Saccharomyces cerevisiae S288C: one gene and its partner. The protein of the gene in region 1 interacts with the protein of each later gene in a biochemical or structural test. Each region holds a gene or a part of one and is shown on either strand. Other genes may lie near its edges.

What was found.
Region 2: the proteins of RFU1 (region 1) and BRO1 form a complex in vitro, tested with the Saccharomyces cerevisiae proteins (2 studies listed by BioGRID).

What each region holds. Positions count from the first base shown.
Region 1 is NC_001144.5:280,327-283,677, forward strand, and holds RFU1 (Rfu1p), read right to left. Parts: upstream 1,296-3,351; coding exon 693-1,295; downstream 1-692. Other genes in the region: LAM6 (Lam6p), read left to right, coding at 1-617; BUD20 (Bud20p), read right to left, coding at 1,630-2,130; 60S ribosomal protein uL16 RPL10, read left to right, coding at 2,601-3,266. UniProt on the Saccharomyces cerevisiae protein: Inhibitor of the DOA4 deubiquitinase involved in the regulation of protein degradation by the proteasome and maintenance of a normal level of free ubiquitin.
Region 2 is NC_001148.4:392,188-397,379, reverse strand, and holds BRO1 (Bro1p), read right to left. Parts: upstream 3,343-5,192; coding exon 808-3,342; downstream 1-807. Other genes in the region: tRNA splicing endonuclease subunit SEN54, read left to right, coding at 1-678; COPII coat assembly protein SEC16, read right to left, coding at 3,726-5,192. UniProt on the Saccharomyces cerevisiae protein: Class E VPS protein involved in concentration and sorting of cargo proteins of the multivesicular body (MVB) for incorporation into intralumenal vesicles. Fusion between endosomes and the vacuole will then target the cargo proteins to the vacuolar lumen.

The DNA of each region.
Region 1 (3,351 bases):
GCGACTGGGAAAGGTACATAAATGTTTTAAGTATAACAAGAACACCAAATGTTCCTAGTGGTACCAGTTTCAGCACCAGAACGAGGTACATGTTCCGATGGGATGACCAGGGGCAAGGTTGCATATTAAAAATAAGTTTTTGGGTGGACTGGAACGCATCCAGTTGGATCAAGCCAATGGTAGAGAGCAATTGTAAAAATGGACAAATTAGCGCCACTAAGGACTTGGTAAAGTTAGTCGAAGAATTTGTAGAGAAATACGTGGAATTGAGCAAAGAAAAAGCAGATACACTCAAGCCGTTGCCCAGTGTTACATCTTTTGGATCACCTAGGAAAGTGGCAGCACCGGAGCTGACGATGGTACAGCCGGAGTCGAAACCAGAAGCTGAGGCGGAAATCTCAGAAATAGGCAGCGACAGATGGAGGTTTAACTGGGTGAACATAATAATCTTGGTGCTCTTGGTGTTAAATCTGCTGTATTTAATGAAGTTGAACAAGAAGATGGATAAGCTGACGAACCTCATGACCCACAAGGACGAAGTTGTAGCGCACGCGACTCTATTGGACATACCAGCCAAAGTACAATGGTCAAGACCAAGAAGGGGAGACGTGTTGTAACAGAGTAATCATGTAATATTGTATGTAAGGTTATGTATGTTCGTATGGTATGGAAAAAAAAAAAAAAAAAGGATGCTATGTGGAGAATGTAAGGCGTGGTAGCTCCGGATAATTCAGTCTGTAGGCTTCATCACGGGCAGTGGCCTGACTCTGAGAGCTTGCTCCGGTATTAAGTTGTGCGTTTGAAATTTTCTGGAAAAAAGAAATTGATTGGTTGAAGCTATACTCGTCGAAAGATTTCTTCGGCAGTGGTTGTTGCTCCACCTGCACGGGAGTTGTGTTTGCGTTTATGTTCGGCTTGGCTATATTATTAGCGAGTGATGTTTGCAATTTGCTGTATTGAGAATCAATTTGGGTGCGTAAGCTTTCAATAATTTTGCAGACCGCAGGCACTTCCAACTTTATGAGTTGCAGGTATTCTCTTTTATGAATATACGATGACGACGATGACGACGACGCATCCATGCGCAAAAGCTCAGGGTGTCTAGATAGTTTGTTAGTCAATAAATCCACATATCTAAAATAATAAATAAACGACAGCGACAAGTCGTTGGCCTGGAACGCACACTGTGCCTTTTCCAATATGCCGATGCATGTTTTCAGGTAAATTCTCAATGGTATCGCCGGATTGAAGCGATAATCCTTAGCGTCCTGAACCAATTGCTTACTAGACTTCATGACCTACCGGGGCCAGATAAAGATGCGGAAGGAAGAGAAAAAATGTATAGTGGTTGGTGAACCGCAACAATAATTCGTGCCAACACTTTAATCGAAGCAAAAATTGTCTTGTATGTTATTAATATTATCTATCTAACCATTGATTTACGTATAAAACTGTCGATGCTCATCGCCTAGCAATGAAAAAATTTTTTCTTTTTTTTTTCATTATTTCTCTTTGTTGCGTACTTTTTTTCATTGCGTTTCGCGGCAAAAGCGATTCGAGTTGACTGGAAGTGTGTTATACTATAAAAAGTGTATATGCCTATTTTTGGTTCTGATCTTTACTTTACTGTTAAGTACTGGCTGAGGCAGTAGACTCTGCCTCTGTTACGGCAGCGGTATTCGCCTCGGCATCAGCAGCCGCCCACGGTAGAGTAGGTTCTGTTGTTTTGACGTTTGCCAAGGTACTGTCCAAATGCTCCTTCAGCAAGGCCTCATTACTTTCCTTCTCCGGACCCACCGATTGCGTGATCTCCTGTACACGGTTCAAGAACTTGTTCAAATTGTAGCCCGCAGCAGCATCAGAGACTTCTTGTGTGTAAGGGACACCCCTCAACTCCTTGACTCTTCTTTTGTGCACTTTGCCCTTTAAATGCGTTTTTAACGCTATAGCAGTCTCCATGTATTTGGCACAGTGTATGCAATAGTGCTGACCAAGGCCCGGTTTGGTTTCATCCAATGGCTGGTTCAGAAGCTTCTGTACTGATTCCTTGGTGGACAAATCGTTATAGATCAGGTCCAAGTCTCGTGTTCTTCTTTTAGTCTTGTATCTCTTCACCGAATATCTACCCATGATGCGCTATTGTTTTATCTTCACTTGTCTGTGTGTTTAACTGCCTTTCAATTCACCTCATCTCATCTCCCGCTACTTTCCATATATAAAAGCAAAATTAATTTGCTTTTTCCCCTGTCAGTATAAAAAAATTTTCCGCAGGATATAGAAAAAAAAGAAATGAAATTATAGTAGCGGTTATTTCCGTGGGGTGCTTTTTTACACCTGTACATCTTTTCCCTCCGTACATTTTTTTTATTTTTTTTTTTGGTTTTTTTTTTTCGATATTTTTCCCTCCGAAACTAGTTAGCACAATAATGCTGACTAAGGAAACTTTTCATCTCAGAATTGATGGTCAGTTTGGTTTCTCTAGAGAATAGTTTATAAAAAGATGTTGATGTGGAGCAACCATTTATACATCCTTTCCGCAAGTGCTTTTGGAGTGGGACTTTCAAACTTTAAAGTACAGTATATCAAATAACTAATTCAAGATGGCTAGAAGACCAGCTAGATGTTACAGATACCAAAAGAACAAGCCTTACCCAAAGTCTAGATACAACAGAGCTGTTCCAGACTCCAAGATCAGAATCTACGATTTGGGTAAGAAGAAGGCTACCGTCGATGAATTCCCATTGTGTGTCCATTTGGTTTCCAACGAATTGGAACAATTGTCTTCTGAAGCTTTGGAAGCTGCTCGTATCTGTGCCAACAAGTACATGACTACTGTCTCCGGTAGAGATGCTTTCCACTTAAGAGTCAGAGTCCATCCTTTCCATGTCTTGAGAATCAACAAGATGTTGTCTTGTGCCGGTGCGGATAGATTGCAACAAGGTATGAGAGGTGCTTGGGGTAAGCCACACGGTTTGGCCGCTCGTGTCGACATTGGTCAAATTATCTTCTCTGTCAGAACCAAGGACAGCAACAAGGATGTTGTCGTTGAAGGTTTGAGAAGAGCCAGATACAAGTTCCCAGGTCAACAAAAGATTATTTTGTCTAAGAAGTGGGGTTTCACCAACTTGGACAGACCAGAATACTTGAAGAAGAGAGAAGCTGGTGAAGTCAAGGACGACGGTGCTTTCGTTAAGTTCTTGTCCAAGAAGGGTTCTTTGGAAAACAACATCAGAGAATTCCCAGAATACTTTGCTGCTCAAGCTTAAGTTCTTTTCAAACATTTGAACTAACTTAAAAGAGAAATTTTTTTGATTTAAATTCTAGTTTATTAAACAGTAAATATATTTATAC
Region 2 (5,192 bases), on another chromosome or scaffold:
TGGAATTTTTTTTTTCGTAAATATACGACTTCACCACAGTTATACCAGGGTTTAAATAGGCTTGTTCGTTCCGTGGCTGTACCAAAGAATAAAAAAGAGCTATTGGATGCACAATCTGATAGGGAATTTCAAAAGGTAAAGGATATTCCCTTGACATTTAAAGTATGGAAACCCCATTCTAATTTCAAGAAAAGAGACCCCGGTCTTCCTGATTTCCAAGTTTTCGTTTACAATAAAAATGACGATCTTCAGCATTTTCCTACCTATAAAGAGCTGCGATCTATGTTTTCCTCACTTGATTATAAATTCGAATTTTTAAGCGAAATCGAGGATGATGACGATTGGGAGACAAACTCCTACGTTGAAGATATCCCACGAAAGGAATATATTCATAAGAGGAGCGCGAAATCTCAAACTGAAAAAAGTGAGTCGTCTATGAAAGCAAGTTTTCAAAAAAAAACTGCACAGTCTAGCACGAAAAAGAAGAGAAAGGCGTACCCACCTCACATACAGCAAAATCGTAGATTGAAGACGGGATATCGGAGCTTTATTATCGCTATTATGGATAATGGCCTTATTTCGTTTGTAAAAATGTCCGAGGCTGATTTTGGATCTGAAAGTGTATGGTATACACCTAATACTCAAAAGAAAGTAGATCAAAGATGGAAGAAGCATTAAAGGGACTTTTGCTAAATCGCAGTTTCTTTATCCTTGCAAAACTGGCTTTCAACAAATCCGGTATATATATAATTATCATATTAGTTGAAAAAAAAAAGCTACAATAAAATTAAGAAATAAGAAATGCACCTAACTGCTGTATTTGGAGTACATATTTTCATCAAAAACAGAGGGTCTATTGTAAAAGGACGTAGGATTCTCTTGCAGTTCACGTTCTTCGTTTTCAACTGCTTTACGTCTTCTCAAGTCGTACATATCCTCTTGCGATTGTTTCGGTGGTACTGGTGGGGCTGCCATAGTAGGCGTTGCAGCATATGGCGAAGCTTCATAAGTTCTTGGTGGAATACCGGGTCCTTGAGGTAAATCACTGCCGGCACTTATTTTGAGATTTTGAAATTGGTCCCCTAAATTGAGCCCTTGTCTAGATAATGACTGAAAGGCTGCACTTTTTTGGGGCAGTAATGGAGGACCCCCAACGACAGACGCTTTAGAATCAAGTGGAGGGAGGGGAGGAGCGGGAGAATTAGCTGTTGAATCCTCGGTCTGCTTTGCAACTCTCACTCTTTCTGCTAAGTCTCTACTCATATTGAATAATGAATCATAGAACTCTATTCCTTTTGGCAAGTCGGATGCAAAAATACTGAATGATTTCACTGCTTCTTGCAGCTTATCAAAAAAATTCTTACGATCTTCTAAAAATTTTTCTTCCCCAGAAGATTTATCCTTGAAATTTGAAAGGTGAAAAATTTCATCTAGCTTGGCTTTGATGTCATCTATCATTGAAGATTGTTTGTAAATTGTCGCCTCTATTCTTGTGCTCAAAGGCTCGAATTTCTCCAGTTCCACCTCGAATAAATCTTTGAGCTCAACATCGGATTTCCCCTTATTAATAATTAATAATTTTGTGATATCATCGTTGTTGATTTCGTCTCTTAGTTCAGACAAATTTCTCGAACGTTCCTCTTTCAATGTTCTTAAGTCTTCCGCATGGCCCTTTACTTGTTTTAACAACTCTAATATCTTGTCGTTTTTGGTATCATCGATATCCAATAGGCTAGGTTGTGGAGGCGTATTGCGATTAAATTCGTCAAACTTCTTCCATATTTTTCCATTGTCATTCAATAGATTGATCTCGACAATATGTGGTTTTACGCATGCGAACAATTTTTCGTCTGAGTTTGAAGCAGCTACTAAAGAAGATTTTAGTTTTGTAACATTTTCTTTTTGATCATTGGGTAAGGCAGAAAGGATTTCTAAAATTTGTTTCCTTTTGAAAACAATTTTGTTCATCTGTTCTTCTATATCCCTAAATTCATTTGTTTGGATAAATTTACACCATGTCTGAATTTGGTCCCTCATCAATTGTCCCTGTGTATCCGTATTCGAGAAAATATTTCCGTCACTAAATTGTTTTTCCAAATCACTCAAGAGCCTGGGTAGATTTGTAAATTCGATGAAGGAAGAATATTCCAAATTTGCTGTCTCAGTTTCTTCAACTTGCTTTCTCAACAGCGTCGCTTTTTCTTCTGAGTAAATACTTTCCTTTTCATAGACATCTAGGGGAATAATTCCTCTGTACAAAGAGTCACATTTATTTGCAACATCTTGCATATATGGTTCTAATATCTTCTCCCATGTTGGAGATTTTATTGCATCGAGCGCCTTAATGGAATCAACCTGCACAACGGCTGGAACGCTTTCATGATATATAAAATCGTTATCTTTAATCAACTCCTTTTGTTTCTTTTCTAAAGTTTCTTTAAACCCATCAAAGTCTATAAATTCCACTAACCACGTTTTGAATGGAAGGGATGAAATCAATTGTTGCATAGAAAAATCGAGAAAAGCAATTGCTTCGCCAACTCTATTTTCTTCTTCAAGGTGTAAACCGTGATAATAAGCGCTTAACGATTTGTAGAAATGCAGTTTGCAAGTAACTGTCGTTTTCCATTTGGGTTCACCATAAATGGCCACATCGTCATCTATTTCTTTCATAAAATCGTGACATTTCTGAAAGAGGTTACACGTGGCTCTAGAAAGTTTACTGATTAATGTATATTGCTTGGATGATATTTGATCATTTAATAATTTCAAGACAAACAATTCTTGAGCTTCTGCATGGCAAATATTAGCCAGAAACCTAGTGTTTTCTGACTGAAGATCGACTGAAGGTGAGTTCAAAAAATTTTCTGATAGATATTCAAAACAGGAAAAAGCTTTTGTCAAATTTGCGATTGAGTTTTTGTAGTCCTCATTGATATTCTCCCTCGCAATTTGGGTAAAGATTACAGCAATGTTGAACAAAGTACAAGACTTTTCAAATGCTAACGTATGTTGCGTGTATTTCAATCCTTTCTGGGCCGATGAGTATTCTGCGTCATACCAAGTGAAATCCATTTTTAATCTTGATCCTTTGCTACCCAGGCGAAAATAAAGATGCTCCAAAAATGAGTAATATTTTAGATTTTGTTCCGACAATGAAGAAGGTGCTAGTTCTCCATTTGCATTATTCCTTAAGTGATCCAGTTCTGAAGTAGCTTTCTCATCATAAAATGTTCTCCATTGTGAGGAGCCGTATGATTTCTTGAGATATGAGGAGAGGCCTTTTTTCCAATCCAGCTTCTCTGTGTCTTTTAGCTTTAGGTCAAATAAGTAAGGTTTCATGAGTAGAACCAGTGAGTAATGAACCTAGTAATGCTCCAGTCAGCCGCTTTCTGATTCAAGATTTTTCCACGACAACCCCCTTAGTACTTCTTCGAATTGTAACTGAAGCCTTGCTTGCTTTCTGTTTCTCGGTGATCCTAACCCGGAACCGGCGTCCTGCATTAATCGAAGCAAGAAAATGAGGTATGATAGAATAATATTAGTATAAGCAAAGTTTCAGATCGCATTCATCTGATTTCTTACTGACAACGATGCATAACCTAAATACGGATTCCTGTAATCATTGTTTTAATAAAATTTACTACGGTTTTTATAAGTATATAATATACATCAAGAAAAGGGAAGGCATAAGGGTACCATGAAAGAAAAACGTATTACTATAATTATTGTATGTTATCCATTACATTAACATAGCCTCTCGCTGTTTTCTTCTTCCTTCTCGTACTTGCTGGTTTGGGTCCTCCTGCCAAACTCAATAAATCATCCAAACCGTTTGCCTTTTTGCTAGTCAAGTTTACGCCAGAAATCCTTGATATGGGAGAGGATGGTGATGGAGAATTGTTTGGATTGGGTCCTGTAGGAGAAGGGGATGTTTTGATCGGCAAAGGCTCACCAGTGATTGGATTGTTCGGAATAACTGATGTGGCATGTACTGGAGGTAGGGAATTATTGATGGGGCCTGAACGTGGCTTTGTCTTTGGGCCGCCATCTTTACGTTTCACGATTGGAGGAGGTGGTGGTGCCGAACTTTCAATAATTTTTTGTTTTTCCTCTTCGGTTGCGTCCTTATTCACCCAACGTTTCAATTTTTCATCATAGTATAGTGTGTTTTTATGACCTAGCTTGGCCTTATACACTTTTTTGTCGCCAGTATCTTTCTTCAACCAACCAAACCAACCATTAGACTTGTCATCTATGTCCTTGTTACTTGGTTTTGTTTCCTTTTTCATATTCACATTCTTTTTTTCTTCCTTTCTGTTCTTTGCCTCATCAGTAGACATATTGTCGTCATCGGATTCATCTTCAATAACGTCATTGTATTTATCCGCATCTGATTCCAACGGTTTAAAAGCCCTGTATTGGTTAGTTGAAGCCTTCCTAATAGTAGGTTGAAAAGTGTCTTTCTCGACGACTTCGGCTTTCTTTATTGGGCTGAATCTATTTTCTGAAGCAACATTTCCATTACTTTGTGCCTGGGATGTTGATTCAGATAATTCGAATGAAGCAGTTTCATTTGCTTGGTTGACCAAAGGAAAGTATTGTGATGGATTGGATGCATGTGCTTGGTGAGTTCTTGCATATATAGCAGGCGATGTTTTCAGAATCGTTGATTCATCGCCATCTGCACTAGCGGCAGTTGATTGAGGCACGTATGGTGAGTAGTTCATTTTGGTTGCGTCAGTACTTTTTGGCTTTGGTGGTGCCATATGTTGCTCCACAAGTTTGGATGCTTTATTATTAACATTTCTTGGAACATCTTGCACTTGAGAAATTGGTTTAGCTTCCATTGAAATACTTCCTGCTGGCAAGTATGTGGATTGAACTGTCTCTGAGATACTGTTTTCATCCTGAGTTAGCGGTCTGTTTTCGAGTGACAATCCACCAGTTGATGGTAAATATGCTGATGATGCTGATTTTGAAATGTTTTCTGGCTGCTCCTCGCTACTTCTTTCATTTTCAATGGAGGGAAGTGAATTTTCCATTTTCGATGCATCAGTACCCCGGACCTCCACGTTAGTTTGAAGAATCGGTTGGATATCGTCACTAATAGTTTGTATAGGATTTACTGTAGACGTAGGCTGGTGGTTGGGCTCCATAGGAAGAAGATTCTTCACATCGTTGAAGCCAGG